Linked DNA regions of Kluyveromyces lactis. The protein of the gene in region 1 purifies or fractionates together with the protein of each later gene. This does not show direct contact. Links are inferred from orthologs where the notes say so. Each region holds a gene or a part of one and is shown in the gene's direction. Other genes may lie near its edges.

Region 1 (3,799 bases):
CGTGACCCTTTGGAACCCTGATAAAAGTTTCGTAAGCTTCCTCATCATCTTCTTGACTGGGATCAACTAATATCAAATCACCCTCCATTCCAGTTATTCGTTTGCAAACTCTAGATTGTGGATCTGTGGGCTTCATAGCAACTATACAGTCTCCCATCTTTAAGTCTCGTCCGTCCTTATACCATTTCAGAACATGGACGTAATCGTTTACTCTATTCAAGGTCGGTAACATTGATTCACCTCTCGTTTCTGTAAACTCATAGAAATGTGTATGAGTTATATGTATCAAACAAACTGTACGTACCACATAGCTACCAATATTAAGCCAACTCATCACTGCTAACACCAAATAATACTCGGTGTTGTGGATGTTTTCCCACTTTCCGCACTACTAGTTAAATCTTCTCTGGAATACTAGATTTCTCTCATCTCATTATATCAGCATAAGTTCCATTTTCGAACTGTTGAAATAGTTCTTTTGGTGAGAAATACACGTCGTAATCCTCTTGACACACGGAAAGCTTTCCATCCAATAATTGTATCGTACTGTTGGCAAAAATTCCCCAACCTCTGTTGAAGCTAGTATCCTTATTGATCAAATACGCAATGGTGCAATGGGTCGTCAACCTTACCGTTTCCATTATCTCGATCATGTGACACCATAAATCTATCAATGGGTCTACCTCTTGAATTGGTGTGGAAAGCAAGCCACCAATGGTAGGTTCATAGTACTGAGTCAAATTGATAACTACGTTCACGCCAGAAAGAATCGGTTTCCAGTTCTGGGTATTAATGTTCACGAACTCGTAGTTTTTTTTTCTGTCATTGATCAAGTTGATATGAGAATCAAATGTAAGAATCCACTTATCGGATCTTACATCGTCACTTCTATAATATTCTTCCAATCCATATAGAATATCATCCCTGGCATCCCAATAATCTGCATTGATAACTTTAATGCCATATTTGAATATCAATTCTCGACAAATTCTAATTGCGCTGTCATTACCATTACCTCCAATAACTAAAGCAGAAAATACAGGCTCCATTGTTTCTAGCTTGCATGTTCTAATTGTACTACAAATTATTTCAAAAGGATCACCTAAGATAGGAATGATCATGTTTAGAAAACCTAAACTGCCATTTGTGTCATGTTTTGCTTGTGTTATTATATATTTATTTTCAGTATATTTTGTCGTCAGAATTTAAACCTGGCATTTTCAACAAGCTACTTGAAAAGGCGTACTGAAGAAGTATCATTGTTGAACTGACCAACAGAGCAGAAAAAGTTAATCACAGAGTCCAAACTGCACGCAACAGTTTGGTGTTACTTCCATCAGAGATATTTGTAAGTGAGAAATGTCTGCAATTTTAGAACAGCGCAAGCTGATTTCTCAGCTTATGTCTTCGGCTGCCACATCGCATGGGCTAACTTCACCATCAACGTGCAAATCATTTATCATTGGTCATTGCCCCTATGACCTTTTCCAAGAGACCAAGCAGCCCATGGGGCATTGTCCACGTATACATTCAGTCTCGCATAAAATGCAATATGAAAGAGATGTAAAGAAGGGCAAGAAATATCCTGAGTTTGACCTTGAGCATTACTCCATCTTGAAGAAGATTCTTAGTGATTGTGATGTTCAAATTGAAATGGCACATAAAAAGTTACAGCATCATGAGGAACATTCGAAATTAGCAGCACTTCTACAAGCAGTGAATCAGCTTGAATCCAAATGTGCTTTAATGCTTTCAGAAATCGATATGCTTATACAAAACGAAGAAGTTATGAAGGCGATGATTCAAAGCTGTAAATATAACAAACTGCAAACAGAAAGGGACACACTCAGCGAAAAATGCAGGCAAATGAACGAAAACACAGGCCAAAGTGCACAACAGAAGCTACAGGTATGCCGTGTATGTGGAGCCTACCTTTCAAGATTAGACACGGATAGAAGACTCGCTGACCATTTCATGGGCAAACTCCATCTAGGATACGTAACTATGCGTAAAGAACTTGACATGGTAAAAAAGAGATTGCACGAACAAGGGACAGATCTTCACACATATCTCCCGCAAACAAGGAGACATCAAAAAGCAGTATATAGAGGTAAATCTTATCGATCGTGAATGTATAAATTTACACATACACTGAAGCTGTTCATAATGGCAAACATTACCCGGATTTGAGTATTCTAATTGAAATAAAACAATTTCAACTAATAAACATCAAGAATAAGATTAGATGAGAATAGCTGTTATCATCGTAGCATGTTCATATGCACCGGTAACACTGTGGTTTGGTGTGTTCTTCAATTTCAAGTAGGATAAATTGATCATTTTTGACTGTTGAAACATTGTTGAGAAAGCGAACTGACAATCCTAAATCATGAGTTCAGTATTTGGCCAACAAGCGCAACAAGAGAACAGGTTTGCAAACTTGCAAATAAATTATCCTCAGCAGCAGCAGCAAAACCAACAACAGCAGAATAGTTCACAATCACTAGTACAGAGCTCTGCCACGAATGGAAAGGAAGAAAACTGGTATAATATAGCTAGAAAGAGAAACATTCCACAATCCGTGATAAAAAGATCGTCTAAACCGAGCTCATCTGGAGATGGATCTTCGAATGACAACTCTTCCCAAAGATCCGGATTCAATAGCGTCCAGTTTGGCACAAAGAAGCCAACATTCAGCTCTACGCAGCCTGCACAACCTACTGATATCGCGACTTATGTGGAATCGAATGAAGCTCCCCCAACAAAATCGTTATATGATTGGCAACGAGAGGATGAGTTCGGGTCTGTCCCCACTAACGTGAACGCAATGCCTTCGTCTAACCAAATACCTTTGACTCAAGAATACACTAAGAGCACAAGAAACGCATTCGACAGAGATGCGTCGAAATCCCCTGTAAAACCGACAGCGGATCAAACAAATGATATATCAAGACAAAAATCGCAAGAGAGCGCAGTAATTGTATTTGGATATCCAGAATCCATTTCAAACCAAATAATATTACATTTCTCAAAATTCGGAAATATTTTAGAGGACCTTGAGGTTCTAAGAGGTGTTACAGGTAACAACATATCCAGTGCTACTATTAGAATTCGTGCTCAAAATAAGGACTCTAAAATTCCTCATAAGAAATATCCTATCTTCACGGGCGATGGATGGATTAAAATCACGTATGACTCCCCTAGTGCCGCTCTGAGAGCTCTACAAGAGAATGGTACCGTTTATGGAGGTTGTTTAATTGGCTGCGTTCCTTATAGCAAAACAGCCGTAGAACAATTGGCTTCGTGCAAAATCGATAAAACTGATGACATCGGAGAAATCCCGTTCAGTTTATCGATGAAACCAAACGGACCTGAATCATCTGATATACAAAATGGGACACAAGAAAGTGCTGATAATAATAAACATGGGTTCACCTTTTCTACTCGGAAATTGGATGTCAAAGATGGAAAGCAGTTGTTTGTGCATAATGCAAACCCTCCTCATGGTGGTCCAAACTTTTTAAGAAATTTGGAGAACAAGTTACGAGAACAGGAACAGCATGGGAATAACCAACAACCAACAAATTTAATTGGAAGGGTCAACAATTGGTTATTCGGGTGGAACGACCTATAGTCTCATTGTCTTTAGTAATTAGAGATGTATTATGTTTATATAATTTACGGATACCTCAAGAAATTCCAGTGCACCAAACTTCAATGAATGTGAGTATTTGAGTGAATAACTACCGAAATGGTGAAGACGATGAATTCCGAAAGGGAGACTTTGATATACGGTTAT
Region 2 (4,912 bases), on another chromosome or scaffold:
GTCCCTGATGCCGCTATTTGAGTAGAGGACGAAGTCTTCAACGGAGACTTTGACCTTTTGTTCTTGATGATAAACGCTTTCCGATCGACATTTTCAATGTTATCGAAACTGCTTAAAATATCCTCATTACCATCCCATCGTTTCTCCCTTGGGTTGTATTTCATCTTACCTCTTTTCAACGGCGTGTTGAGATCAATTTCTTGTCTTATTGTCTTTAAACGAGCACGAGCTCTTGTAGAATTACGTCTGTTAACAGCAGCAGCAGCAGCGGCCTGTTTTGCCGTACCCCGTTGTTGACGAGCTTCCCTATACGAATCCAACGGAGCGTCGAACGCATAATGCTTCTTATGCAGCTGTGGTGTTAATAAAGTGTCATCATGTTCGATATCATACTCTGAGGGTGATAAACGTAATGTTGGATCAAATGCTGAAAAGTTATTGTTGTTATTAGTAGCGAACTGGAAGTTATCGTCAATTCCTTCAAAATCATTACCGAAATTATCGTCATCGTCGTCTCCATTATTAGCCATTTCTGTAGCCTCAACAGCAATGTCTTGGACAACGTTACCGTCATCAGTTCTTTCACCAAACCTTGGTCCAAGATCCCTGTAACTCCTTCTAACTCTGGGCACATATGGATAGGGTTCATCATCTTCATCTTCATCGTCATCTTCGTCATCTTCGTCCTCAAGTAACACATCTTGACGGTTGAACCTCATTAACGATGGCATAGATGACTTATAACTGAGAGTTCGACCAGAACTGGGTCTAAGGTTCATATAAGACCTGCTGTTCGGTACTCGACGCGATTGCTGTGAATTCAAGCTTGTAATATTACCTTTACTACGGGTTGCCAAATCGACCATCGATCTACGCTGTCGTACCGAATCCTTCAACGATGGCCGCACTAGTCCCGCATGGTTTATATATTGATCCACATTTCTAGTACCACTACCACCACCGGTCTTAGAATTTCTCAGGTTCAATGATAGCTTCTTCTCCAGTTGTTCTTGCAAATCAGCTAGCTCGTCCTGATCCGAACTTTCCCTAAATCGTCTATCCACAGCAAGAGGTAGGTCTGTACCATTTTGGTACTCTTCAAAATCACTGTTATAGTTCATATCATCATCAAGATCGCTCGCCAGTTCCGTGTGTGATGAATACCTCTTATCCTTAGAGAATGTGGTATTTTCCGTAGTTGTGGATGTAGCTGAATTAGGTGCCAATCTCGGTACCTCTATATCATCTTTATAAGTAAATGTGCTTTCAACATCTTCAAATGATGTTTCTCCGACATCATCCAGTACAACTGGACGTATAGACATCGATAATCGAAGATTGTCCCTGGTCTTTTCCCTTGTTTATTCCTTTGTTTACATCTCGAACATACCTTTAATGCTTCCGTCATTGATGTATCTATTAACCTTAAACAAAATAATCATATTCGTGAGACGTGATACTATATTAATTGCTGTTTAAACCGCTGTTGAGACGCCAATTCTGCATTTCGAGCACTCCTATAAAACACTGAGATTCCCAGAATTCGACTAAGTTAATAATTACCTTTTAAACACTCATTTAGGCGCGTTTATCTCTGTTTGTTTTTCTTTCATGCTTCCAAAATGATTCAAAATTGCAAAGAACCGTATTATTGTAATTCTTTAAGATAAATCTCTGTTAAAGATGCATGATGCCACCAAACAGAACAAGAGCCTTTAGCTGCTATCCGTGAGCCGTTTTGAGTGTGAAGTCGGCAGCAGGGGTTTGCATATCAAATTTAAGAAGGAAACTAGGGATTTTATGAAATGTTTGAAGGATTAGACCAAACTTTTCTGAAGAATAACGATGAATGGGTGCAGAGTTATAATTCTGTTGACTGGAACGATATAACTACTATCGACAAACTGGTGGTTGGTACAGAAGCATTGGTACAGAAATACAATAATCCCAATGAACATGTGAAGAGCAATATATATAAAGTTTTTGATGAGTTATTGGGAAGGTATCCGTTATTTTTTGGTTACTGGAAACGATACGTTGCGGTGAAATATCAGCTAGATGGATTAGAAGGGTCTATTTCTACTTTAAAGGCATCTTTACATTCGTTCCCTACGTCGATAGATCTTTGGATTGATATGTTGAACGTTTATCTAACACATAATCAGAATGATAGTGAACTGATACGAAACCAGTTCAGGAAATGCGAATCCCTCGTGGGATCTCATTTCCTCTCGCACGATATTTGGGATAAGCACATTGCATATGAAACAAGACTACAGAACTGGGAAAACGTATTTGAGGTGTACAAACAAGTCATGCAGCAACCTTTGCATCAATATGCAAGATACTACACCAGCTTTAAGGAATTCTTGGAATATCACCCAGAGTTTGCTAATAGGGAATCAAGCATCCATTTGGATACCACATTTATTTCTAACCAGGAGAAGGTGAACAAAATATGGACATATGAATCACAAATAAAACAGCCATTTTTCAATATCCCTGAGCTTCCCGAGAATGAGATTCAGAATTGGGATGCTTATCTATCTTTCTTAATCAACAACACTGAGTTCAGTACAGAATTAATAAAATCGACGTTTGAGAGATGTTTGATTCCATGTTTAAGATACGAATATTTCTGGGGAGCCTATATTGACTGGACTGAAAGGACTTTTGGTCCCGAATGTACGTTCCCCTTGTTTGAAAGAGCACTCCGGGCTCTTCCTGCTGATAATAAATCTTTCAAGCAAAAATACATCAAATATTTGGAAAGTAATATGGATCCATATAATAAATTATCTTCCAAACACTATATGGACGCTCTATACACGTTCCAGCTTAAATGGCCACATGATCCAAGTTCAACTATTAAATATTTAAGGTTTCACAAGAGAAGATATTTTGCAGCATCTTTGAATGATGAAGACAAAAAGATCTTGGAACAACAGAGTAAATATGCTACATTTTTGGATAAAACTATCAAGGCGTACCTATCAGGGAATGCAGATACGGAAAATCACGACATTTCCCAGCAGTTGCTTGCCATGCTAAATGACACTACTCTTCCGATACTGGTAGTTGAACTAATAAAAGTGCATTGGCTGGTATTGAAGAACGTCATTCAATGCAGGAAACACTTTACATACTTCGCCAAATTGGATCCGATCAAGACTTCAGTCTTATTTTGGTTGACTTACTACAAGTTTGAAAAGACTCAAAAAAATATCGCCAGATTAACAAAGTTTGTCGATCAATTAGGCACTGAGATCGTATTACCAACAAAAGTTATCAATGATATCGTACGAGATTTCCAAGGGTTTTATCTAATCAATGCAGATTATTCCGAGTACGAAACCAATTTATCGCAATCCCGTTTTGGGTTTGACCCAATAGTTCACAATAGGTTCAAAATCAACAACCCAACATGGAGGCCGAACGCCAAGCTAACCAAGGACTGGTATAAATCAGAAAAGTATAGATCGAACGGTCATCCTGGATTGTTCATTGATAAGCCTCAAATTAAAAATACTATAATAGAGACGCTTGCATCGAAGCAGCTCAATCCAGCACCTTTGCCTACTTTTAGAAATTTAGAAAAGATCCATCAGAAACCTAAATTTGATGATTACATGTCTATAGATTATTTAAAGTAGTAGCTGAAAGGGCATTCTCACACTCAAGCATTTTCATGATCCTAGAATTTTTTTAATCATTTATATACTGTCACTTTGCCTTCCGATAATGCTTACACCATTCCGAGGAGAGCATTTGCCTGTGACTTGATTATCACCATAAACTTCAATAATAGTGAGCTTTTCATTGTCCTTGGATATCTTTTCCACAATTTCATTATCCACACAGTGGACAAACCCTATATTTAGCTGCTTGAGGTTAGGACATGCCATGAAGGTGAAAGTTTTGGATGTTAGGGATTTCAGACCATTTAGATTCAACTCTTCTAAGGTGGAAGAGGAGTTAAGTAATAATTCAACTACGGCTGCATCCTCCAAAGCAAAACATCTTTTCAAGCTACATCTTTTCAACAAAGGGAACTGCAACGAAGAGAATAATAGAACTATGCCGTCGGTGGTTATCTGATCCAATTCTTCTAATTCCAAGTCTGTAAGGATTGATTGCCCTGAGTTAGACAAAAATGGTAAAAATCCATTAATTATACAGCTATCAGTCAAGCCAGTGCATCTATTGAGCGACAACTTCCTAAGGTTCTGGCCTATGGATCCTAACAAACTTATAATAACCTCGTCATTAATATCTGTTTCTCTAGATGGCTCTTCCAAGATCAAAGTGTGGAAATTAGGAGAGTTAAGATATTGCGGTAATAGGGCGTAATTTGTCACAGTATCTAGAGTTGCTAGACCTAGAGATTCCAAGGACGATCCACAATTTCGAAGCATAGCTGACAATGCATTATCATTGAATCTATGGGTATTGGAAACATGAAAAGCAGTAAGTCTACCCTTTAGCAATTCGAAGAATTGAACCCATGTATCCTCATTAATTAAGAACGGTCCATCAAGGTATAGTTCTTTTAGGTTTGGTAGCTTTTCGGCTAGATACAAGAGAGCTTCATTATTTAACTGTCCACACATCTGTAAGGAAAGCGACTCTAAATGCGGCGAAAAGATGGCAAGTCTCTTGTAGCCTTCATATGACAACTTTGAACAGTCATAAAACGTCAAAGTAGTTAAACTGGTGTTCAAGAATAACTGTAAAGTATCATCATTCAAGGCCCGATTTTTTGTCAAAGCTTGTGCTAGTTTGTTCAAGTTTTCTAAAGATACACCACCTAAAGTATCTCTAATATGTTCCACCATCGATTGTGCATTATATTCCACAATAGATTTACCGATAACTTTAATACATATATCCTGCAATGATGAAATGAGTGAGT
Region 3 (3,250 bases), on another chromosome or scaffold:
AATGTGGAGGAAATGAAATCGGAGAAGCGTAAGCAGGAAAACACTAAGCCAGAAAAAAATCCATCAAGTGAATCAGATAAGAAAGCTAAATCAAAGAGAAAAAGTAGAAAAGGAAGGCAGTCTGATGGACCTAAACACAAAGACAAACCAACTTAATATGCAGACATCGCACCAATGGATGGCATCTCGATATTTTGGCTTAGTTCTCTTTTACGTGCCCTTTCATTTATTCAAATGTGCAGAATATTATTTCTGATCTCTGACACTTGATATTTAAAGGGAGTGTGACAGGACTTTTTAATATTAGCAGCTTTGTGGACTAACAACAAATTCATTTTGCAAACTCAACTAAGGATTATTACACACGCATATCACTCGCCATAATTTTCATCGATCGATGGTGAATATTAGAACTACAGAATTAGAAGGAGATTTAGCACAGTTGACCTATGAACTTGGGTTGAAGGATAAGGAAGTCATGACTTTAAAGCAAAGTCTGGAACGCCTCAATGCTGAAGTCGAGAAGCTAAGAAACGAGAACAGAGGCTTGAAAAGCGAATTGGAACATTGGAATAAACTACCGATGAGTCCAATATCTTTGTCTTCAGAAAACGATCAAACTGAGGACGATAAAAACCGAATGATTCAAGAGAATTTGCGGAGAGAGATTCTTTCCTTGAAGAATGAAAGTAATATTTTATCAGAATGGATCAAGACCCTTATTTCTTGAATTTCTTCAAATAAATATTCTGAGCCGTACCCAGAATTGCGTATGCCAAACTAAAAAATACGGACCATTTATCTGGTGAAATGTATCTTTGAGCAATTGACATCAATACCGTTGATGTTGCCAAGCTGGAAGACAACATTGCCGCATATCTTGTCTTGATTGCGTGTATAATTTTTGTTTTGTCAACCTTACCGTTGTTAACAGAAGTCAAGGTAAATAGTAACCCTAACACTTGAATAGGCGATACCATGCCTAATGAGCAGCCTAACTGGACCAAGCTTCTATATTTGGATACCACTTTCCTAATTGTGTATTCGTTTATCCATTTGTAACTGAAATGATTAACTGGTGCGTTAAATAGACCACCATATAGACTCATCAATGCCACTTTGATCCAATTTAGCTTCTCTTTTCTTTCCTCTGGAGACAGACTAACCCATTGACTGAACAGTTCGCTTAACCCAGTTAATACCGCGCCTGTTATGCATTTAGTTAATAACGGGTTACGTTTGAGTAAAATATTATATCTCTTCAAGATTACTGATGACGACATGTTTACTCTTGGCGTTAATCTTTAATACTCCCAATCTCTCGATGCGAGCAGCAGTAACCTTGAAAGCTTGCGATCCATGAGATATGAAAAGAGTAATATCTGACTTTAACATCTATATATATATATATATATATATATCCAGATTTTATCAAAGCAATGACTGACAGAACGTTTTGTTATCGCTTGCATGGATAGTTTCTTATCGCACTTCTCCGTGTATCTGTTAACCATTTAACATGAGATGCAACGGATCTAAATACTTTTTGGGTTCCATGTAAGATTCGAACACATGCTCGCTCGAATGTAAGAAACCATTGGAATCTCACGCAAATGAGTTACCCTGTTAAGGCACGTGATAATATGAAATTTCCACTCTTTTCCAGGAAAGAACGACCCCATTGATTCTTGAGTATCAATTTGAACCATTTCATCCATCATTATGTAGAATATGTCAATTGAGTAACTACGATCAAATCCTGATCTTTTATCAAAATCAGGAAGTTGCTTGTGGATCATCTGTTACTTTTGCAAAATTCAAAACTCTTTTTCATCAAAACCATTTGAAACTGGTAACAGCTTTCTGGTGTATCTTTAGTCCGATTGAAACAACGAAGTTTTATATACAGACAAAATGCAGTTAACAGGGTTCTTAAAGAAACTAAAGAATGAAAGGGTGTCTATAGAGTTGAAGAATGGTACCACTGTTTGGGGAATAGTGAGGAGTGTGTCACCGCAGATGAACGTCTCTCTTACTGACGTCAGGCTGACACTCCCTACTAAGACCTCAGAAGCTACCTTGGCTGCCGTCTTATTGTCAGGTGGATCGACACAAGGACAAGAATCTAAGAGAACAACTAGCCTCGAGTTCATCAACATTAGGGGTAATACGATAAGGCAGATTATTTTACCAGATAGTATCAATTTGGATGCGTTGCTTGTAGACCAACAGGAAGTCAACAGGTTGAGGAAACAAGGTAAAGTGGGAAGTGATCCGAATAAGAAGAGATCACTTGAGAGTAACGGGAATGCTCCTAAACGTCCAAAGAGGGCATTTTAATATACATCAGAAAACATATGTGGAAATAAATATGTAGTGATGTTATGGACTTTGTTTTGATGAATGATTAAACACTATTGATAATTATCTTTCATAATGAATAGCCGTTCTTTCCAGTCGATGCCTCCAAAAAAAGAAAGAATGGAATCAAATTTGATCACTGTCATCTCTTGGATCAGAGCTGGAGTCCGAGTCGCTTGAGCTCTCATCGTCCTCTTCATCGTCCCATATTTTACACCAATTGCATTTTCCTAAGGGGATGCCCCAAATTTCATTCCTGTCGCATAACCAGTCTATCAACTCATCGAAATGTATCAATTTAATCTCTTTTTTAATCGATGATGACCAACAATCCATATCTAACGAGTAACTTTTTAATTTTCTATGATCAAGTATATATTTCTTCATTAAATCATGTAATAAATTGAACGATATATCTTGCTCGGAAGGATTACTCTCAGTTAAGAAATAATACGAGATTCTCATATAACATAATACCAGTGCTGCAATATACTTGTTGTTTAAGGGTTCATGCGGTTCTAGTAATACTTTTAGTTGTTCCCACGGAGGTCGCAGGTTGATCAATTTCATCAATAGACATTTGAACTCTATACCACCTAAGACAGTCACATGCGGGGTTTTCCGCTCATCCATAGTCCCGAAATCTCTCACAATAACAGGTATAAGTTCGACAATGGTATCTCCCCTCAAACTTGCGGGCGTTAAATTAAATTTATAATACATGCATGACGATACCTTATTTCTAAATATTTGAGGAACTACCAAAGACGCTGATTGGTGATTCAATTGCTTTCCAGACAAGTTCTCCTCCACGTAGAATTCGTTAGGCATTGTGTGTGTTATGAATAATACTAAACTGTGTCGAAGACAGTAGCAGCTGAGCTCTTTT
Region 4 (4,884 bases), on another chromosome or scaffold:
TTCATTTGAGAATGTTTGAGATGGCATTGGATGCAATTTCTGAACAGACCAGATTTGAAGTCATCGGTGGGTACTACAGTCCCGTAAGTGACAACTATAAGAAACCGGGATTGGCACCAGCTCACCATAGAGTGCGTATGTGTGAATTGGGCTGTGAAAGAACTTCTTCATGGCTCATGGTTGATGCTTGGGAATCGTTACAACCAACTTACACTAGAACGGCAATGGTGTTGGACCATTTCAACGAAGAAATTAATGTGAAACGGAAAGGTGTCATCAAAAATGACGCCGGAGAAAGAATGGGTGTTAAGATCATGCTTCTTGCCGGTGGTGATTTGATAGAATCCATGGGCGAACCTAACGTCTGGGCAGATTATGATTTACATCATATTTTGGGTAATTACGGCTGTCTCATCGTGGAAAGAACAGGTTCAGATGTTCGTTCGTTCTTGTTGTCTCACGATATCATGTACGAACACAGAAGGAATATCCTTGTCATTAAACAGTTGATCTATAATGATATCTCTTCCACCAAGGTAAGGTTATTCATCCGACGGAGAATGTCGGTTCAGTATTTACTGCCAAATTCTGTCATCAGATATATTCAAGAGCATGGCTTGTACGTAAACCAAACTGAACCAGTGAAACAAGTTATCGGTAACAAGGATTGAGTGTGACACTAATTGTTCTAATCACATATTCTCCTTCTCCTTTCTAGACTCCTCCCTGGTCAGACTCACGTGATGTCTTTAACTCGAAGATAATATACACACAAATTGTAACAGTTTTTAGTTAGTTGAAATCCTTTTTATAATAGAAGTTCTTAATCAACAATAGTATTTGTCGTCTAGCGAAAGTTGCGCATGCTGTTATCCTTTGATCTAGCTCCGTAACGATGACTGCTGCAGACAGATGGAAGGATTATGCCTGTGTAACATCCCTTTTCGTGGCTGTTGCATCGTTATACTATGCATATAAGGTTAAGACAACTACATTAACTGCTCTATCACCACCAAAGGATGGAGTGGAAGACTTGATAGGAAATACACCAATGGTAAGAATTAAATCTCTTTCCGATTATACTGGTTTGAACGTTTTTGCCAAAATGGAGTTAAATAATCCAGGTGGTAGCGCAAAGGACAGAGTTGCCTTGAATATTATCAAAACCATCTCATCGCAGGAAGGTATTAAGGGTTCAAGTGATAAGAAAAATAGAATCTTTGAAGGAACAAGCGGATCTACAGGTATATCCCTTGCAATATGTTGTAACGCGTTGGGTTACTCATGCCATATCTCGCTACCGGACGATACAAGCCAAGAGAAACTTTCTCTTTTAACTGCACTTGGTGCAATAGTGAACAAGGTAAAACCTGCTAGTATAGTGGATCCGAACCAATACGTAAATGCAGCTAAGTCGTGTTCAGAAGAGTACACTGAGGGTGTTGGTGTATTTGCAGATCAATTCGAGAACGAGGCCAATTGGAAATGCCATTACGAAACGACAGGACCTGAAATTTATCTACAATTAAATGGGGAAGTGGATGCATTCATCACGGGATGCGGTACTGGTGGTACCATGGCCGGTGTTTCTCGTTATCTAAAGGAGAAAAGAGGTGACAAAGTACATATTGTGTTGGCTGATCCGCAAGGCTCGGGTTTCTACAATAGAATCAAATACGGTGTCATGTACGATAACGTAGAGAAAGAAGGAACAAGAAGAAGACATCAAGTGGACACATTAGTGGAAGGAATTGGTCTTAACAGAATTACAAACAACTTTCTGAAAGCGGAAAATTATATAGATGATTCCATCAGAATTACAGACGAGGAAGCTATTAAGATGGCCAAATTCTTATGTGTAAATGACGGATTATTCGTTGGTGCCAGTACTGCAATCAATGCAGTCGCAGTGCTGAAATATGCGGAAAACTTACCGAAGGGTTCAAATGTTTGCATCATTGCATGTGACAGTGGCTCTAGACATTTAAGCAAGTTCTGGAAAGAGGCCCTGCAGGTGAGTAACGATCTTTCAATTTCAGATATCATATAAATAACGTACAGTGTGTTTAACTTTGGTCTTTTGTAAATATCAATTAATTGGAAAAATCTTGAAATATATATATCGAGAGAGTAGACGTAAAGTTTCAGCGATGAGTTAGCAAATAAACGCTGATACTACTAGGCCGAACGTGTTTAACTCACTAATGGATACTGTATTGTTTGTGTCGCCCACATTATACTGCTGTGGAGACACGAAGAACTGGCAATCACAGGTGCCGAAGCCAGGATATGTGCCGATTTTGAAGAGTGATATCCCCAAATTTGAACAGTCGTTGAAACAAGCCAACAGCCATAGAGACCATGATAAAGGGAATTCAGTAGCCTCGAAGACTAATGAAACGGACAATTCTGATGAATTCAAGACTTCAACTTCACGCTATGTTGATTTGAAGTCCTTTTTACCAATTTCGTTAGAACAACAGTTGCATACCGTTTGTTTAGCACATTTTCCACTGGGACTTGGATCCAAGGGTATTGATAAAGTTATGGACAGACTAGACAATCTAATACGGAAAAAGCTGCAAGTTGAAGATAATGAGACCAAATTTATCAAACAATGGAGTTACGTCGATTGTGTGAATACGTTGACGGTATATATAAGTTTCCAGGAAAGTATAGTGGAAGAATATGGGAAAGCGATACAGTTACTTGAGAAATTGTTTGACAACGGGTCAGATGGGATCGGACTTCACATGGATGAAAACACTAGACGGTTCGTTTGCGATCTGACGGAAGGTTCTCCTGCTAAGGAACTCGATGAAACTGCAAAAGATGAGTTCTCCGCATTAATTACAATGTTGAGATCTGAACCAGGCTCTATATCTCAGGAGAAAGGGTTGGCTGGAAATAGTGCCGTTGAGTATAACGTGGATATAAGTACGTTGAGTGACCTTCCGAGTTCCTCATTAGACCAATTGTGTAAGGATATTGTTGAGTTTAGAACTCGTGTCATTACGTTAGAGAAAGAGAAACGGAATAAAGAGCTAGCGGAGGAAGAAAAACGGAGGAAACAAAACTTGAAGCATATATTTGACCGTATCAAGGTTACTAATGGAGGCTCGGAAAAAGGTTCAGCCCCTGAAGCTGAAAGTGACTCTGAAGATTCAGACGACGAGGTTGAGGGTTACGATGATGAAGATGCGGACGATTACGAAGCGGAAAAAAAAAGAGTTCAAGCGGAAAGAGATGCGCAAGAAGCCCAGTATGAATCCATGGTTCATAGTTTCCAAGATTCGTTACTGGTCCAATACTCATCGCTACGACAAGAATACCAAAGGTTACAAAACTACGAAACGCATTTACAAAAGAACAAAGGTCCTATGTTAAAAGAGTTATTACATCTTGCCATGGATCCTTACCACGACCATCACAGGCCATACAAGGAATCTGAATCCAAGGCAGATGAAGAGGACCGTAAACGGGAATCTGAAGAAGTACCAAAGAAAAAAGCAACAGAAACAGAGCCAGAGACAGAACTAGAGCTAGAGCTAGAGCCAGAGACAGAGACAGAGACAAAATTGGTATCGGACGCAGATGCGACAACGGCTGCACCAAAGATTAAATTAGCACTAAAGAAATCCATTGGAAAGACAAAGAATGAGATAGAAGAGGAAGAGACTCCTGAAACCGATGCGTTCCAACAGAAGTTGAATCTACTAAGGGAAAGCGGCGTAGTGGAAGAACTCGTCAAAGAATACTTGGGAGTTTACGAGCCCGACTTAGTCTCATATATCTTTGAAAACATCGAAGAACATCAATCGAAACAGGCACTCGAGACTGAGCTTACAGAGACGTTCGACGAAGATAGCCCTGTCCTAGTGAGCCGTATATGGGAAGCGATGGAACAGTAGTGGAATATACCATACATGTGAATATACATATATATGTATATGTAGGTATGTGTGTCACATGTCTAATAATGAGATTCTATTACCCGGTTACGTCTCACGTGACTGTCACGAAATTTTTTCGCCCGATTCGAGTGTTCCAGCCAGATCGGGCGGTAACATGAGGTTACTAGAGGTCCGGGTAATCGTGTTTCATATTGATTCGCGTTTTGTATATCGTATATAGCGATACATTCTCAACTTCACCAATTTTTTACCAGATCCAGAACGGTTACAGGAAGAATTGGCAGGATGAGATAAACAAAGGAACAAACATAGAGATTCTATTACTTGTAACTTATGTACACACCTGATAATGGTGGAATTTAGTTTCTGTTTTCGTTCGGGTTGCTTTAGGCAAAAGATAATAAGTTTTTAGATTCGAGATTTATCGTCAGGGTCAAACTTTTCAACAAAGAACGTTACCAGTGGTAATATTTTGGTGTATACATCTTTCTTTTCTTTGTGTTCCTCCATTCATTCATTTATTGATTCATCTCAAATTACTTATAAGTTTTTTATACATTTGATAAGAAGGATCTATTAGAGGTTTTTAATAAAGAAAGATTATCAGAACTGACCTACTGATCCAAATTACCTTCCAATCCTCAGTCTTTAGGAAACTGCCATCGTTTGTTTAGTGAGCTTATACTTTGAACGTGACAAGAGCTTCAGGCAGGTTGAAGTGTACTATCGATCTCTGTTTTTTTTTTCCCCGTCCCATTGTTTGGTGATATAAAATTATTACTTATTATTACGGATTGCCGGTTTGTCATTAGAAAACTTTGAGAATCTCAGGTTTGAACTAAGGCCTTCGGCAAAACTTTGATTACTTTTCCAACTATTTTACATTCTTTTTTCATTTGATTTCATTCGCTTAACACGATGCAATTTTCCAATTTAAGGTTTTTGTTAACCGTTATATTCTTGGGCAACT
Region 5 (4,757 bases), on another chromosome or scaffold:
TACAATTATTTAAGCAACGTCATTATTTCTTCATACACTTGTACATTTACATTATTTATTCAATCATAATCAACATAATTAAAAACACTAAAATGGCCCTTGATATATCTTGGCCTATGCTCACTAAATATAGTTCAGCTAGCTGCCCTCATTGAGTGCTTACTTGATAACTTAGACAAATATCATCAATTGCTCTTTAGATCCATCGGTCATTATTCTCGACCAATAAACACTCCTTCCAGTTTTCGGCCGCTTAGTGATCAATCCTTGCACCACATAATGACTTTCAACCTCATCTTTCAAGATGAAAATTTTAAACAAAACCAGATATCAACACATAAAAGCGCTTTTATTTGAAGACGTTGATGATACACAGAGGGATAGCCCTTGACAAATCTGATATATTTTCATTGATAGTGGACGCTATACCTTTGCATTGGAAATTGCTGCTAATATTGGTGGACCCGTGAAATTCAACTGGTTGGTGTTGAATAGCATTTCGGATAGTTGTAATAAGATTTAAAAAAAGAAAGGTTGTTTATCCTTTGTCTTTACATTAGGATATTAAAGTTAAACTCTTTAATTAACAACCTCAGTCAGAATCCACCGTTCTTGTAAATATAAAGGGATTCTATTGATTTCGTGTCTGATTGCTAGTCATTGAAGTGTTTTTAACTCTTATAAAGTTCCTGTTCGGATTAAAATACCTGTATTATAGACAGTTTGGTCTCCATCTCTATTCAATCATTTAACAAAAGGGACTCAGCTTTAAAAGTGAAAGATAACATCGTACATTCATTAAAGTGTTGTACTGGGTTTTAGTTATATATTAAGCTATCATAATGGAATCTAAAGAAACTGTTCGTATTGGTGGCAGACGTTCGAAGTTGGCTGTTGTTCAGTCTGAGCAAGTCAAAGTCATGATTGAGTCGAAATTTTCCCATATCGAATGTCCACTTCTATCTGTACACACTCTTGGCGACCAAGTTCAGTCTAAGCCCTTGTATTCTTTTGGTGGGAAGGCTGTGTGGACGAAAGAACTAGAAGATTTATTGTACAAAGATGATGAATCTCGTATCGATCTGATTGTTCATTCATTGAAAGATATGCCAACTCTTCTACCTGATGGATTCGAATTAGGCGGTATCACGAAACGTGTAGATCCTACAGATGCTCTAGTCATGCCAATTGGTTCTCCGTACAGTAGCTTGTCAGAGTTGCCTGACGGCTCGGTGGTCGGAACTTCATCAGTAAGAAGATCTGCTCAATTAAAGAGAAAATTTCCAAACCTGAAATTCGAAAGTATCAGAGGTAATATTCAAACCAGGCTGGCGAAATTAGATGATCCAGAGACTCCTTACAAATGTATCGTTTTGGCCAGTGCCGGCCTAATGAGAAGTGGACTTGATTCTAGAATTACCCAGCGTTTTAATGCTGACACAATGTGCTACGCAGTCGGTCAAGGTGCGCTTGGTATTGAAATCAGAAAAGATGACGAGAAGATGAAAAAAATTCTAAAAGAAATTTGTGATCCTTCGACGACTATCTGCTGTCTAGCCGAGCGTTCTTTACTCAGAACTCTAGAAGGTGGTTGCTCAGTTCCAATTGGTGTTGTATCCAACTACGACGAAAGTACAAAAGTGTTAACCTTAAAAGGTATTGTTATCAACGTCGAAGGTACTGAATGGGTAGAAATCGAACATAAGGTCACCATTTCTAACGAAAGGGAAGATAGTATAAATTGTGGTAAAGAACTTGCTGCTAAACTAACCCAAAATGGTGCCAAAGAGATCTTAGACTCTATCAATCTTGACAAAATCACTTAATGACGAACATTCCTTCTAAAACACGAGAGTGGAAGAAAATTGAATGGGCATGAACTCTCGGCATTCAATATAAACACCCTTTTCCCTTGCCTTATAATTCACTTATTAATGTCTTCTCTTGTTTCCGTTTACGCTTTTAATTTTATCCTGATGTATGAATTTGCATATTTACTTATTCAAATAATGTTTAATCATAGAAAAAACATGCACTTAATTAAGACCCTTTTTGCATAAAACAAACCTATATATATACTGCGATGAAGCAATGAATTGGAATGAGTTCCGAACAAAGATCTCTTTGCCATGTCAGTTGTAGGTCTGTTCAATTATTTCTTTGTTTATAGATGCAAAATAGAAAAATGACCATTATCAAGAACATGAAATATATACACGTAGTTTAACTCATGAGCCAACATAACAAAGTAGAGCACGCAGCTAAACGCACTGAAATCATCGTTGCTCTGCCAGTACTGTGAAAAAGGAAATGGAAGATGATCTTAATCTATTAGGTGATCAAAAGCTATCTGAATTCAGTCTCTTAATATGCAAATATCCAAAAAGTTTGCACCATTGGGAGAATCTTTTGAATCATTTATTGCTGAAGGCATCACCTATCTCAAAATCTATTAATAAAGACCTTCTTCAGCTAGTACGATCGACATATGAATCATTACTCTACCAGTTCCCCTTTTTGGAGAATTATCATGTCGAATACGGACTATTGGAGTATAAACTAGGGAATTTTGGTAAGTTTCACGCTATATTCGAGAATGCTCTTCAGTATTTCAACAATAGGTCATTGTTAATATGGGTAGAATACTTGAAGATCTGCAATAAAATTATGCCCAGTGATAAGCAACTTTTCCAAAAATATGCCTTTGCGGAATCCTACATTGGATTGCATTTCTTCGGTGCTGAATTTTGGCACATGTATCTTAACGAAATAAAACTGCGATGCAAGACACCGCAACATTACATTCGAACGTTAAGAAAAGTGATAGAAATACCGTTATATGAATATTCCAGTTTTTATGATTTGTGGCTACAAACCATTGAAGATGTTAAAGATCTTTCACAATTAAGGTTCTATGCGGAAGATAAAGAGCTATGGAAAAAGTTGAAGATAGACACACAATTGAATGGTCGCAGAGGCCCACATTTGCAAGTCGCCAAGAAAGCTTTGAAGAAAGTTTCTAAAGAGTTATTCCTTGTCGTACAGTATGAAGTTATGGAGATATATGAATTGTTTGAAAGTAAGATCACCAAAAGATACTACATGTCTGCGGAAGAACTTATTCCACACCAGGAAATCATCGTCTGGACGAAATATTTCGAATATATCAGGGAAAAGAAAATTTCAGACCTAATCAAGCTTCAGTTTCAGCGATCTGTGCTCCCTTTAGCTCATTATGACCATATATGGTTGCAGTACGCCAACTATTTAATTGATGATTTGAACGATTTCATTGGTGCCAAAAACGTGATGTTACAGGCTTTATCCTACGTTCACAAGCGTTCCAGGATTGTCACAATGTTATCCTCGGTTCTCATTAGATTAGGGCAGATTTCAGAACTCCATCAATTATATGATGATATTTCACTCGCATTCTCAAATGATCTAACTACTTCCGATGATTTCGAAATATTCATTGACTACATACAATTCAACTTGTTCTTGAGTTCTGCCAATTCAAAAAGTCGCTTCAGTGGTTTAACAAACAACATCGAATTCTCCGACAATTTACTGGATGTATTGATGAAAAAGGCAAGTAAAGAAGATGATCATAACAGACAATACATTTTATTGAACATGGTAAATGAAATGTACGAGCGTTTTCCGCGTGCTTTAGTTGAAACTAAAGTTTATCAACACATAATCAATAGCAAATGGAAATCGTTCCTGGAAAATCCAAAGTTCTGGTACCTTTATTGTTCTCTAGTATGGTACGATAATAATATCACCTATTTAAAGAGGCGGAAGCATATTATAAATGATATCATTCCATCTGCTGCAAAGTATGGTAAGGCTGTTTTGTCTGAAGTAGAATTGTTTATTTCAAACTACTTGCCAGATGATATGGAACTCTTTACTGAAGCCTACACAAATCAGGGACAGATGAAAGTTCCTATTTAATTAGTTTATGTCTACAAGTTCACTTATTCAATTCAAAATAGACGTTTATAGTAGTGATAATTCCATATAGGAATAAGAGTAAACAGCCAACTCTCTTGTCTAACTTCCAATTATTTAGGGGGACCACAAAAATAAATATGCCAAACGCTATGACTATGCCGATACAATTGAAGACTAGTCCACGATTAACATCGAAATCTATGTGCCTACTCCATATTGCTGTACCTTCAGGGTATTCCCTCTGAAGAAGGACGAGCATGCCATCTACACCAACACCAAATAGGAAATATAGTAGAGGGCTACCAAAACAGGAACCCAATGCAATCTCCAATACTCCAATTCTGGTGAATGTGACATTAGAGACCAAATCACCAATAGAATTTCCCCACGCAAAAACTGTCAAACCAAGTATAGCTTCTGAGAGATTGAACGTCTCCGCCCAATTCGTTAAAATGTCAAGCACCAACCCAACAACAAATGATATGGAAGAAATTGAAAGAACAAATCCAAATAAAGAGATATATTTTTCCTTGACCGTTAGTTTCCATTTGAAGAACATCAAAAGTAAAATACAGGATACAATTAAGCCAAGAGTAAATAACCAAATGTTAAATTCACGTTGTACCAACAGAAGAGTCAAGAACGGGGAGAATGCACACTGACAATAGTACGCAGCTTTGAAAAAGTTACTCCCTGACATTGACGAATAGTGAAGGGGTATTATAAGAGTCAGAAAGAAAACAATTGGTGTGGTGATGAGAATTATTGCTAGTTCGAAATTCGAAGTCGCAAAATTT
Region 6 (3,515 bases), on another chromosome or scaffold:
TTATTGTGGTTTGCTGGATACGATTATCTTATTAACAGTCGTGCTAATTGGAGATTCTGGAGTTGGTAAATCCAATTTGCTATCGCGATTCACAGCTAATGAATTTAACCTTGATTCAAAGACTACTATCGGTGTAGAGTTTGCTACAAGGACCATTGAAGTGGAAGGTAAAAAGATAAAGGCCCAAATTTGGGATACTGCTGGCCAAGAACGTTACCGCGCAATCACCACAGCATACTACAGGGCGGCAGTTGGCGCTTTAATAGTTTATGATATCACTAAATCAAGTTCCTACGAAAATTGTAACCACTGGTTGGCTGAATTGAAACAAAATGCCGATGAAAATGTCGCTGTTGGACTCATTGGTAATAAATCTGATTTGGATCATAAACGTGCGGTTCCAACAGATGAGGCTAGGAATTATGCTCAAGAAAATCAACTTCTTTTCACGGAAACTAGTGCATTGAATGCTGACAATGTTGACGAAGCGTTCAGAGCATTGATTACTGCTATCTACCAAATGATTTCCAAAAATCAACTAGACTTGAATGACGCCTCAGGAAACAATGCCAACGCTCCAAAGGGACCTACGATCTCTTTGACACCGGCACCAAACGAAAAACACAAAAAGAGTACAAACAACTGCTGTTAGGAATTCTAAACGTGTATTATGGTCATTCCTTATAGGGTGTTTATATAGAAAGTATAAGCCCCGGAAAGAAAAAGGGAAGCAGAATTATCATCGACTGGGACATTTATCCCGATTAAGTTAGACACTTGTTTTATGTATATAACATTGACTGCCATAATTATGCAAATACTAGCTGTTTGGAAGGACATCCTGAAACTTCTTAACTGCAAAATACCTTCTCAGTTCATTGCGTCGTATCCATTGTTCTTTTAAATGAAACACTACCATAATGTCAAACATGGAGATTTAGTGAAACTACAAACTTTTATATGCGCTTGAGTAAATTTTTAATTCAAATTTCTATTTGGGTTCAGTCGGACTAGCAGGGGCAGGGGCAGGAGCAGCTGGATCCTTGAACTCTTCGTCATTTTCTTCATCGTCTTCATCATCATCATCATCCTTGCCAACCTCACCATTTTTTTCCAATTTCTCGGCAGTCTTTTTATAATCAATAATCTTACCACGAGTTCTCCTACCAGTAGTTATAATATTGGAACTATCGATTTCTGAAAGGTCGTCTTCTTCTTCATCTTCTTTTACCATCATTTGATCTAATTTTTCGTCATCGACTTCACTTTCACTATCTTCTTCCTTGTTAGCACCAGAAGTAGCAGATGCCTTGTCTTCTTGAGCAATTTTTTCATCCAAATCATCATAGTTTCTTCTTCTTCTCTTCTTTTTAGATTTCTTATCGTTGGCATCAGCGGTAGAAGCAAGCTCACTTTCAGCACTTCTTTTAGCTTGTGAAGCAACGTTGGAAGAGTCAGGCTCTTCTGCACCTATTTGAAATTCTTGCTTATCCTTAATTTCTTCAGCCATATTTGCAAACTTTGTATCTGTTGATATGATTAGTGTGCTGATGTTCGAGGAGTACGACCTAGGCTCACGCAATGCTTTTTTTGATCTAAAGATGCTTACCAGTATTTGTTTCCTTTTCGCATCTTGCGAACCAAATATAATTCATATTATCTCAAATCCCAAAGAAACATAATTTTCCACGTGATCATTTTTTTTCATAGCCGCATAGTGGATGAATTCTAACTATCATGTTGTATCGAAAATTAAAACATTAACTAGTTTCACGATCAATGAGTAACTTGCGTTGGTCCTATAAAGAATCACTGCTACGGACCGCTTTTTTGTGCATGATATAAGGATACCTCTTACAATCGAGTTTACAGTCTTTTTCACTTTCTTTGTTCACCAAGAAGAATAGTTATATCTCTAAGCATATCATACAAAAGATACAAGGACGATGTCGCAAGTTGAAGTTAAAAAGAAGGAAACGAAGCTATCAGATTTGATAGATTATAGAATACGAGTCGCTACCCATGACGGAAGGGTTTATATTGGCCAACTTATGGCTTTTGATGCATATATGAACCTTGTAATGGGAGATTGTGTAGAGGAACGCATGCCTCATAAACAAATCATAGAAGTACTTAAAAGTGGAGGAAACTTGTCAAGCAATGTGCAAGTCGAAAGAAGGACTTTTGGACTAATAATTTTACGGGGTGAGCATGTGTTGAGTACCTCGGTTGAGTCACCTCCCCAACTCTCTAAGAAGGAACGAATCGAAGTCCAGAAGAAGAATGCAAAAAAATTAGATAATGCGAAAAAGGCTCGTCAAGGGAAGACTTCTAACAAGATGAACGTTGGAACGAATGGATCTAATATAACTTCAACTAACTCAGAAAGTTCAAATAGAGTTACGAAGCCAAGTCATAAACCTATCAATACGAATTCTGGAGCTCCCAGTAGGTTTAATTCTAATAGTCAGGTACGCCCCAGCCGGTTCCAAGCCCCTCCAGGCTTCAAAAAAAGAAACTAAACCAGCGAACAACTTGTCATACTTATTGATATAAAAAAAATTGTTTTGGTGCTACGATCACCGATCTTAGCTATAATTATCCGAGACATGTTGATAGATATGTCTTTAGTTACCTCTTACGTACACGCAGAGGACTTTGGATATCCCACTGTAACGACTAGAACAAGAAGATATAGAATTTATCTAGCTTTATCCAGTGTAATGATATCCCTGTACTGCGCAACGTTAAAAGCCTGTGCGAAATATGATTATCCACCTCATTCCCTTTTCAACCACCCCACCAAATGCCTATACGAAACCTCCAGATATACCCCATGACCCCACCATAGCCCTGCGGACAAAAGAAATGTTATGTGTTAAATATGGCTTCCAACTGGACAATCATGGTGCGGAATATCTCTCAGCTGAGAACGGGCAAGAATTAGAGTTTGCAAGTTTCGCAAAAACAACAAATATATCGCATGCCACGATATCATGAGTGTGTGTTTTTTTTATAGGAATCCGGAGAAATAGTCCTACTGATTGTTCAAGCATCCCGGAAAAACCACTTCGAGATTTTCCGTGTGAGGCTTCCACTAATTTCCCCCAGAAATTACCATTGATTGTTTCGGAAAAATTATTCTCCCTGGAGTAATCTACCTGAATAAAAAAAAAATCTTTGTGCAAATTCAAGCTCCGTTGCTTTCATAGAGTCTCGTCATTAATTTCTAATTGTCCAGCTGTTCAGTCTTTGTCGTAAGATGGTGGAAATCCAACCCACTTTAACTTACCAAAGCACCGTAATCATCATCATCATCATAATACACCGTGTACTTAAATATACATACATATATATATATGGGTAGTTACCACGATTTGTCATGTCTTCCCCCCACTATCTTTCTTTCGTCTCTTTCCTGAATCGTTTAGTTCCTATTAACTTAAATGTGAAACATAATCCTTTCAAAAGCCTTATCAGGAAAGAGAAGATCCATCACAGAGTGAACTACTAGC
Region 7 (3,163 bases), on another chromosome or scaffold:
CAACGAAACAGATGAAACAGCAGCTTCTTGTGGCCCTGACCCATATTTAATCGTACACGAATCGTCACAGTTTATTGACCAACAGTTTTTGAAACTACAAGAATTACCGGAATCCGTGCCAATTGGTGAATTGCCTAGAAATTTACTAATGACATGTGATAGATATTTGACCAACCAAGTTGTTCCAGGAACAAGAGTTACCATTATTGGTATTTATTCCATCTACCAATCCAAGAATAAGAGTATTAATAGTTCTGGAAATAAAGCTGTGGCGATCAGAAACCCTTACGTGAAAGTTATCGGGATCAAACACCTATCAAATAATCCGTTAAACAATTCTCTATCTATGTTTTCGGAAAGTGAAGAACAAGAATTTTTGGAGCTTTCCCAACGACCAGATCTATATGAACTTTTCGCCAACTCAATTGCTCCCAGTATCTATGGTAACACTGATATCAAGAAAGCCATCGTTTGTCTCCTTATGGGCGGATCGAAGAAATTGTTACCAGATGGTATGAGACTAAGAGGTGATATCAACGTGCTACTGCTTGGTGATCCTGGTACTGCAAAATCCCAACTGTTGAAATTTGTGGAAAAAGTTTCTCCGATTTCGGTATATACATCTGGTAAAGGTTCTTCTGCAGCTGGTTTGACGGCAAGTGTCCAAAGAGATCCAACTACACGGGAATTTTACCTAGAAGGAGGTGCAATGGTGCTTGCTGATGGTGGTGTTGTCTGTATTGACGAATTTGACAAGATGAGAGACGAGGACCGTGTTGCCATCCATGAAGCCATGGAACAACAAACTATTTCCATTGCTAAAGCCGGTATCACTACCGTTTTGAATTCTAGAACTAGTGTCTTAGCTGCAGCAAACCCTGTTTACGGTAGATATGATGATTTGAAATCACCGGGTGAAAACATTGATTTCCAAACTACCATCTTGTCCAGATTCGATATGATCTTCATTGTTAAAGATGATCACAATGAAGCTAGAGATATCCAAATTGCGAACCACGTCATGAACATTCACACAGGAAGAACTCAACAAAACGATCCAAATGATAATTCCAACTCCAACAACGAAATTCCAATAGAAACTATGAAGAGATATGTTAGTTACTGTAGGTTAAAATGTGCCCCCAGGTTATCTCCTGAAGCAGCCACAAAATTATCTTCTCATTTCATCACTATTAGAAAACAATTACAAGAGTCCGAAAGACATTCCAATGAGAGGTCTTCCATTCCAATCACAGTTCGTCAATTAGAAGCCATAATTCGTATCACAGAATCTTTAGCTAAATTAGAACTGAATCCAGTAGCGACCGAAAAACATGTTGATGAAGCCATTAGATTATTCCAAGCTTCTACGATGGATGCTGCCTCTCAGGATCCTATCAACTCCCAGGAAAATGATACAACAATGCTCTCACAAATTAGAAGAATCGAATCTGAATTGAAAAGAAGGTTGCCAATAGGATGGTCTACAAGTTACAAAACTTTGCAAAGGGAATTCGTTGTGAACAAGAAACTTCCCCAATATGCGCTAGATAAGGCGTTATACCTGTTAGAAAGACATGATTCTATTCAACTAAGACATCAAGGTCAGAATATTTATAGAAGTGGAGTATGAAGTTGCAAATGAAATTCAGGAACCCCTCCTTGAACATTGTCTATAACTCATATGTACCACTGTGTATAAGGAATTTCAGCGACTATGTGTTGATATTTATATAGTGTAAGATTACCCGGATAATGATAATGATAATTGGATAATCCGAAAGAAAACAACTGGATGGTATATTGGGTTTGATGCACAGGATGAGATGATGAGATGACCAAAGAAGGAACCTCTCATATCATATGGCAATCAGGACAAGTTATCACAAACTTACGAGATTGCAAATATCATAAGCCAAGGACTTATCTTCAGGATTTGTCTGTTACATATACTAGAAAATTGACCTAAAACACGATGGCCGATACATATATTCCAAAGACAGACCTTTCAAGGTCTGAACTATCTAGAGACGAGCTAACACAACTAGAAGAATTCGAAATGAAATATGGACCCATGTCTCTAATCAGGGAATCAATGCTACAGAGGACACCTGTTATAATATCACTAAGGAACAATCATAAACTCATAGCTCGTGTGAAATCTTTTGACAAGCACTGTAACATGGTTCTGGAAAACGTTAAAGAAATATGGACAGAGAATGTAAATGGTAAGAAGGTTAACAGAGAGCGATTCGTAGCGAAACTCTTTCTTAGAGGGGACTCAGTGATTATAGTGGTAAAGACATGAACCTGTTTTTATCATCCCATCAACATCCTTTCTGAAGTCACGTGTACTGATATGTTCGCTGCCACTGAAAGCATCAAGTAAAAGGGTTATAGAGCTAATAATCTGATCAAATATCAGGACAAAGATGCATTAATCTTCTGTGAAGCCTTTACCGCATTGAACCAATGTAACTTTCTGATCTGTGCCCGGATTCTCCCTAGTTTTTATATGTCGAATTCCAAACGGCGCATACTCAAAATACGTAATTCAAGCTCAAAAGAACCGTTTAATCCTCTATAGAACTAGATATCAATACATAATACGGCTCAAACCATACAACCCAATACATCCCTTATTTTACAGCTAAGGGGTTGCCTTACCAAATTCAGTATACTGCTAATCACTATTTTTGCCGTTTTAACGTAACGAATACTCAGTTTGGATATTTCACGAATGATATTTCTTCATATTTTTTTTTTTTTTTTTTATTTTTCACTTTCATGAACTCTTTTAAAAAACTAGTCAAATCGCTCTTTTATATCACAGGGATAAGTCAAAGCGCAAAACCTAACTGAAATACATCAAAACAATCACAGGACAACGTTAGGTACTATTGTCAAAGAGTTATATATTAAAAAGAGGCGTGTGAAGTGTGCTTTTATTCTATAGCTTTCACAACTGACAATGGAAAGGCCACAGGACGAGGGAATGAATCCTCCAAAAGCTGGATTGTCTACAATTATAAAACCTTTGGACATAGTGATAGCGCAGTATGACTTTAATCCGCTAAGGAAATCTCAATTACGGTTTTTTGCCGGTGATATTATCTACGTTATATCGAAGAGTGACTCAGGTTGGTGGGACGGTATTTTATAT

The links.
Region 2: the proteins of LUC7 (region 1) and PRP39 purify together in Saccharomyces cerevisiae (affinity purification with mass spectrometry, with the first as the bait; 3 studies listed by BioGRID). This does not show direct contact. The link is inferred for Kluyveromyces lactis from reciprocal best matches to the Saccharomyces cerevisiae genes LUC7 and PRP39.
Region 3: the proteins of LUC7 (region 1) and SMD1 purify together in Saccharomyces cerevisiae (affinity purification with mass spectrometry; 3 studies listed by BioGRID). This does not show direct contact. The link is inferred for Kluyveromyces lactis from reciprocal best matches to the Saccharomyces cerevisiae genes LUC7 and SMD1.
Region 4: the proteins of LUC7 (region 1) and SNU71 purify together in Saccharomyces cerevisiae (affinity purification with mass spectrometry; 7 studies listed by BioGRID). This does not show direct contact. The link is inferred for Kluyveromyces lactis from reciprocal best matches to the Saccharomyces cerevisiae genes LUC7 and SNU71.
Region 5: the proteins of LUC7 (region 1) and PRP42 purify together in Saccharomyces cerevisiae (affinity purification with mass spectrometry; 3 studies listed by BioGRID). This does not show direct contact. The link is inferred for Kluyveromyces lactis from reciprocal best matches to the Saccharomyces cerevisiae genes LUC7 and PRP42.
Region 6: the proteins of LUC7 (region 1) and SMB1 purify together in Saccharomyces cerevisiae (affinity purification with mass spectrometry; 5 studies listed by BioGRID). This does not show direct contact. The link is inferred for Kluyveromyces lactis from reciprocal best matches to the Saccharomyces cerevisiae genes LUC7 and SMB1.
Region 7: the proteins of LUC7 (region 1) and SMD2 purify together in Saccharomyces cerevisiae (affinity purification with mass spectrometry, with the first as the bait; 3 studies listed by BioGRID). This does not show direct contact. The link is inferred for Kluyveromyces lactis from reciprocal best matches to the Saccharomyces cerevisiae genes LUC7 and SMD2.

The regions. Positions count from the first base shown.
Region 1 is NC_006042.1:688,117-691,915, reverse strand, and holds LUC7 (Luc7p), read left to right. Parts: upstream 1-1,359; coding exon 1,360-2,130; downstream 2,131-3,799. Other genes in the region: endopeptidase catalytic subunit IMP1, read right to left, coding at 1-334; KLLA0_F07271g (uncharacterized protein), read right to left, coding at 426-1,121; FG-nucleoporin ASM4, read left to right, coding at 2,390-3,634; NUR1 (Nur1p), read right to left, coding at 3,744-3,799. UniProt on the Saccharomyces cerevisiae protein: Component of the U1 snRNP particle, which recognizes and binds the 5'-splice site of pre-mRNA. Together with other non-snRNP factors, U1 snRNP forms the spliceosomal commitment complex, that targets pre-mRNA to the splicing pathway.
Region 2 is NC_006037.1:711,760-716,671, reverse strand, and holds PRP39 (Prp39p), read left to right. Parts: upstream 1-1,805; coding exon 1,806-3,653; downstream 3,654-4,912. Other genes in the region: BFA1 (Bfa1p), read right to left, coding at 1-1,325; UV-damaged DNA-binding protein RAD7, read right to left, coding at 3,714-4,912. UniProt on the Saccharomyces cerevisiae protein: Function prior to stable branch point recognition by the U1 snRNP particle to facilitate or stabilize the U1 snRNP/5'-splice site interaction. Has a direct role in the assembly or function of a catalytically active spliceosome.
Region 3 is NC_006040.1:319,802-323,051, forward strand, and holds SMD1 (mRNA splicing protein SMD1), read left to right. Parts: upstream 1-1,914; coding exon 1,915-2,340; downstream 2,341-3,250. Other genes in the region: UPF3 (Upf3p), read left to right, coding at 1-156; KLLA0_D03740g (uncharacterized protein), read left to right, coding at 398-730; KLLA0_D03751g (uncharacterized protein), read right to left, coding at 720-1,283; U4/U6-U5 snRNP complex subunit PRP38, read right to left, coding at 2,488-3,192. UniProt on the Saccharomyces cerevisiae protein: lays a role in pre-mRNA splicing as a core component of the spliceosomal U1, U2, U4 and U5 small nuclear ribonucleoproteins (snRNPs), the building blocks of the spliceosome. Also binds telomerase RNA and is required for its accumulation.
Region 4 is NC_006039.1:1,598,995-1,603,878, reverse strand, and holds SNU71 (Snu71p), read left to right. Parts: upstream 1-2,204; coding exon 2,205-3,911; downstream 3,912-4,884. Other genes in the region: nicotinamide-nucleotide adenylyltransferase NMA2, read left to right, coding at 1-671; MCY1 (putative cysteine synthase), read left to right, coding at 896-2,050; MSB2 (Msb2p), read left to right, coding at 4,833-4,884. UniProt on the Saccharomyces cerevisiae protein: Component of the U1 snRNP particle, which recognizes and binds the 5'-splice site of pre-mRNA. Together with other non-snRNP factors, U1 snRNP forms the spliceosomal commitment complex, that targets pre-mRNA to the splicing pathway.
Region 5 is NC_006039.1:1,318,384-1,323,140, forward strand, and holds PRP42 (mRNA splicing protein PRP42), read left to right. Parts: upstream 1-2,310; coding exon 2,311-3,960; downstream 3,961-4,757. Other genes in the region: HEM3 (hydroxymethylbilane synthase), read left to right, coding at 843-1,826; YCX1 (Ycx1p), read right to left, coding at 3,980-4,757. UniProt on the Saccharomyces cerevisiae protein: Essential component of the U1 snRNP particle, which recognizes and binds the 5'-splice site of pre-mRNA. Together with other non-snRNP factors, U1 snRNP forms the spliceosomal commitment complex, that targets pre-mRNA to the splicing pathway.
Region 6 is NC_006038.1:47,530-51,044, reverse strand, and holds SMB1 (mRNA splicing protein SMB1), read left to right. Parts: upstream 1-1,946; coding exon 1,947-2,522; downstream 2,523-3,515. Other genes in the region: Rab family GTPase YPT31, read left to right, coding at 39-652; CHZ1 (Chz1p), read right to left, coding at 992-1,510. UniProt on the Saccharomyces cerevisiae protein: Plays a role in pre-mRNA splicing as a core component of the spliceosomal U1, U2, U4 and U5 small nuclear ribonucleoproteins (snRNPs), the building blocks of the spliceosome.
Region 7 is NC_006040.1:780,881-784,043, forward strand, and holds SMD2 (mRNA splicing protein SMD2), read left to right. Parts: upstream 1-1,975; coding exon 1,976-2,308; downstream 2,309-3,163. Other genes in the region: MCM DNA helicase complex subunit MCM5, read left to right, coding at 1-1,633; Ras family guanine nucleotide exchange factor CDC25, read left to right, coding at 2,972-3,163. UniProt on the Saccharomyces cerevisiae protein: Plays a role in pre-mRNA splicing as a core component of the spliceosomal U1, U2, U4 and U5 small nuclear ribonucleoproteins (snRNPs), the building blocks of the spliceosome.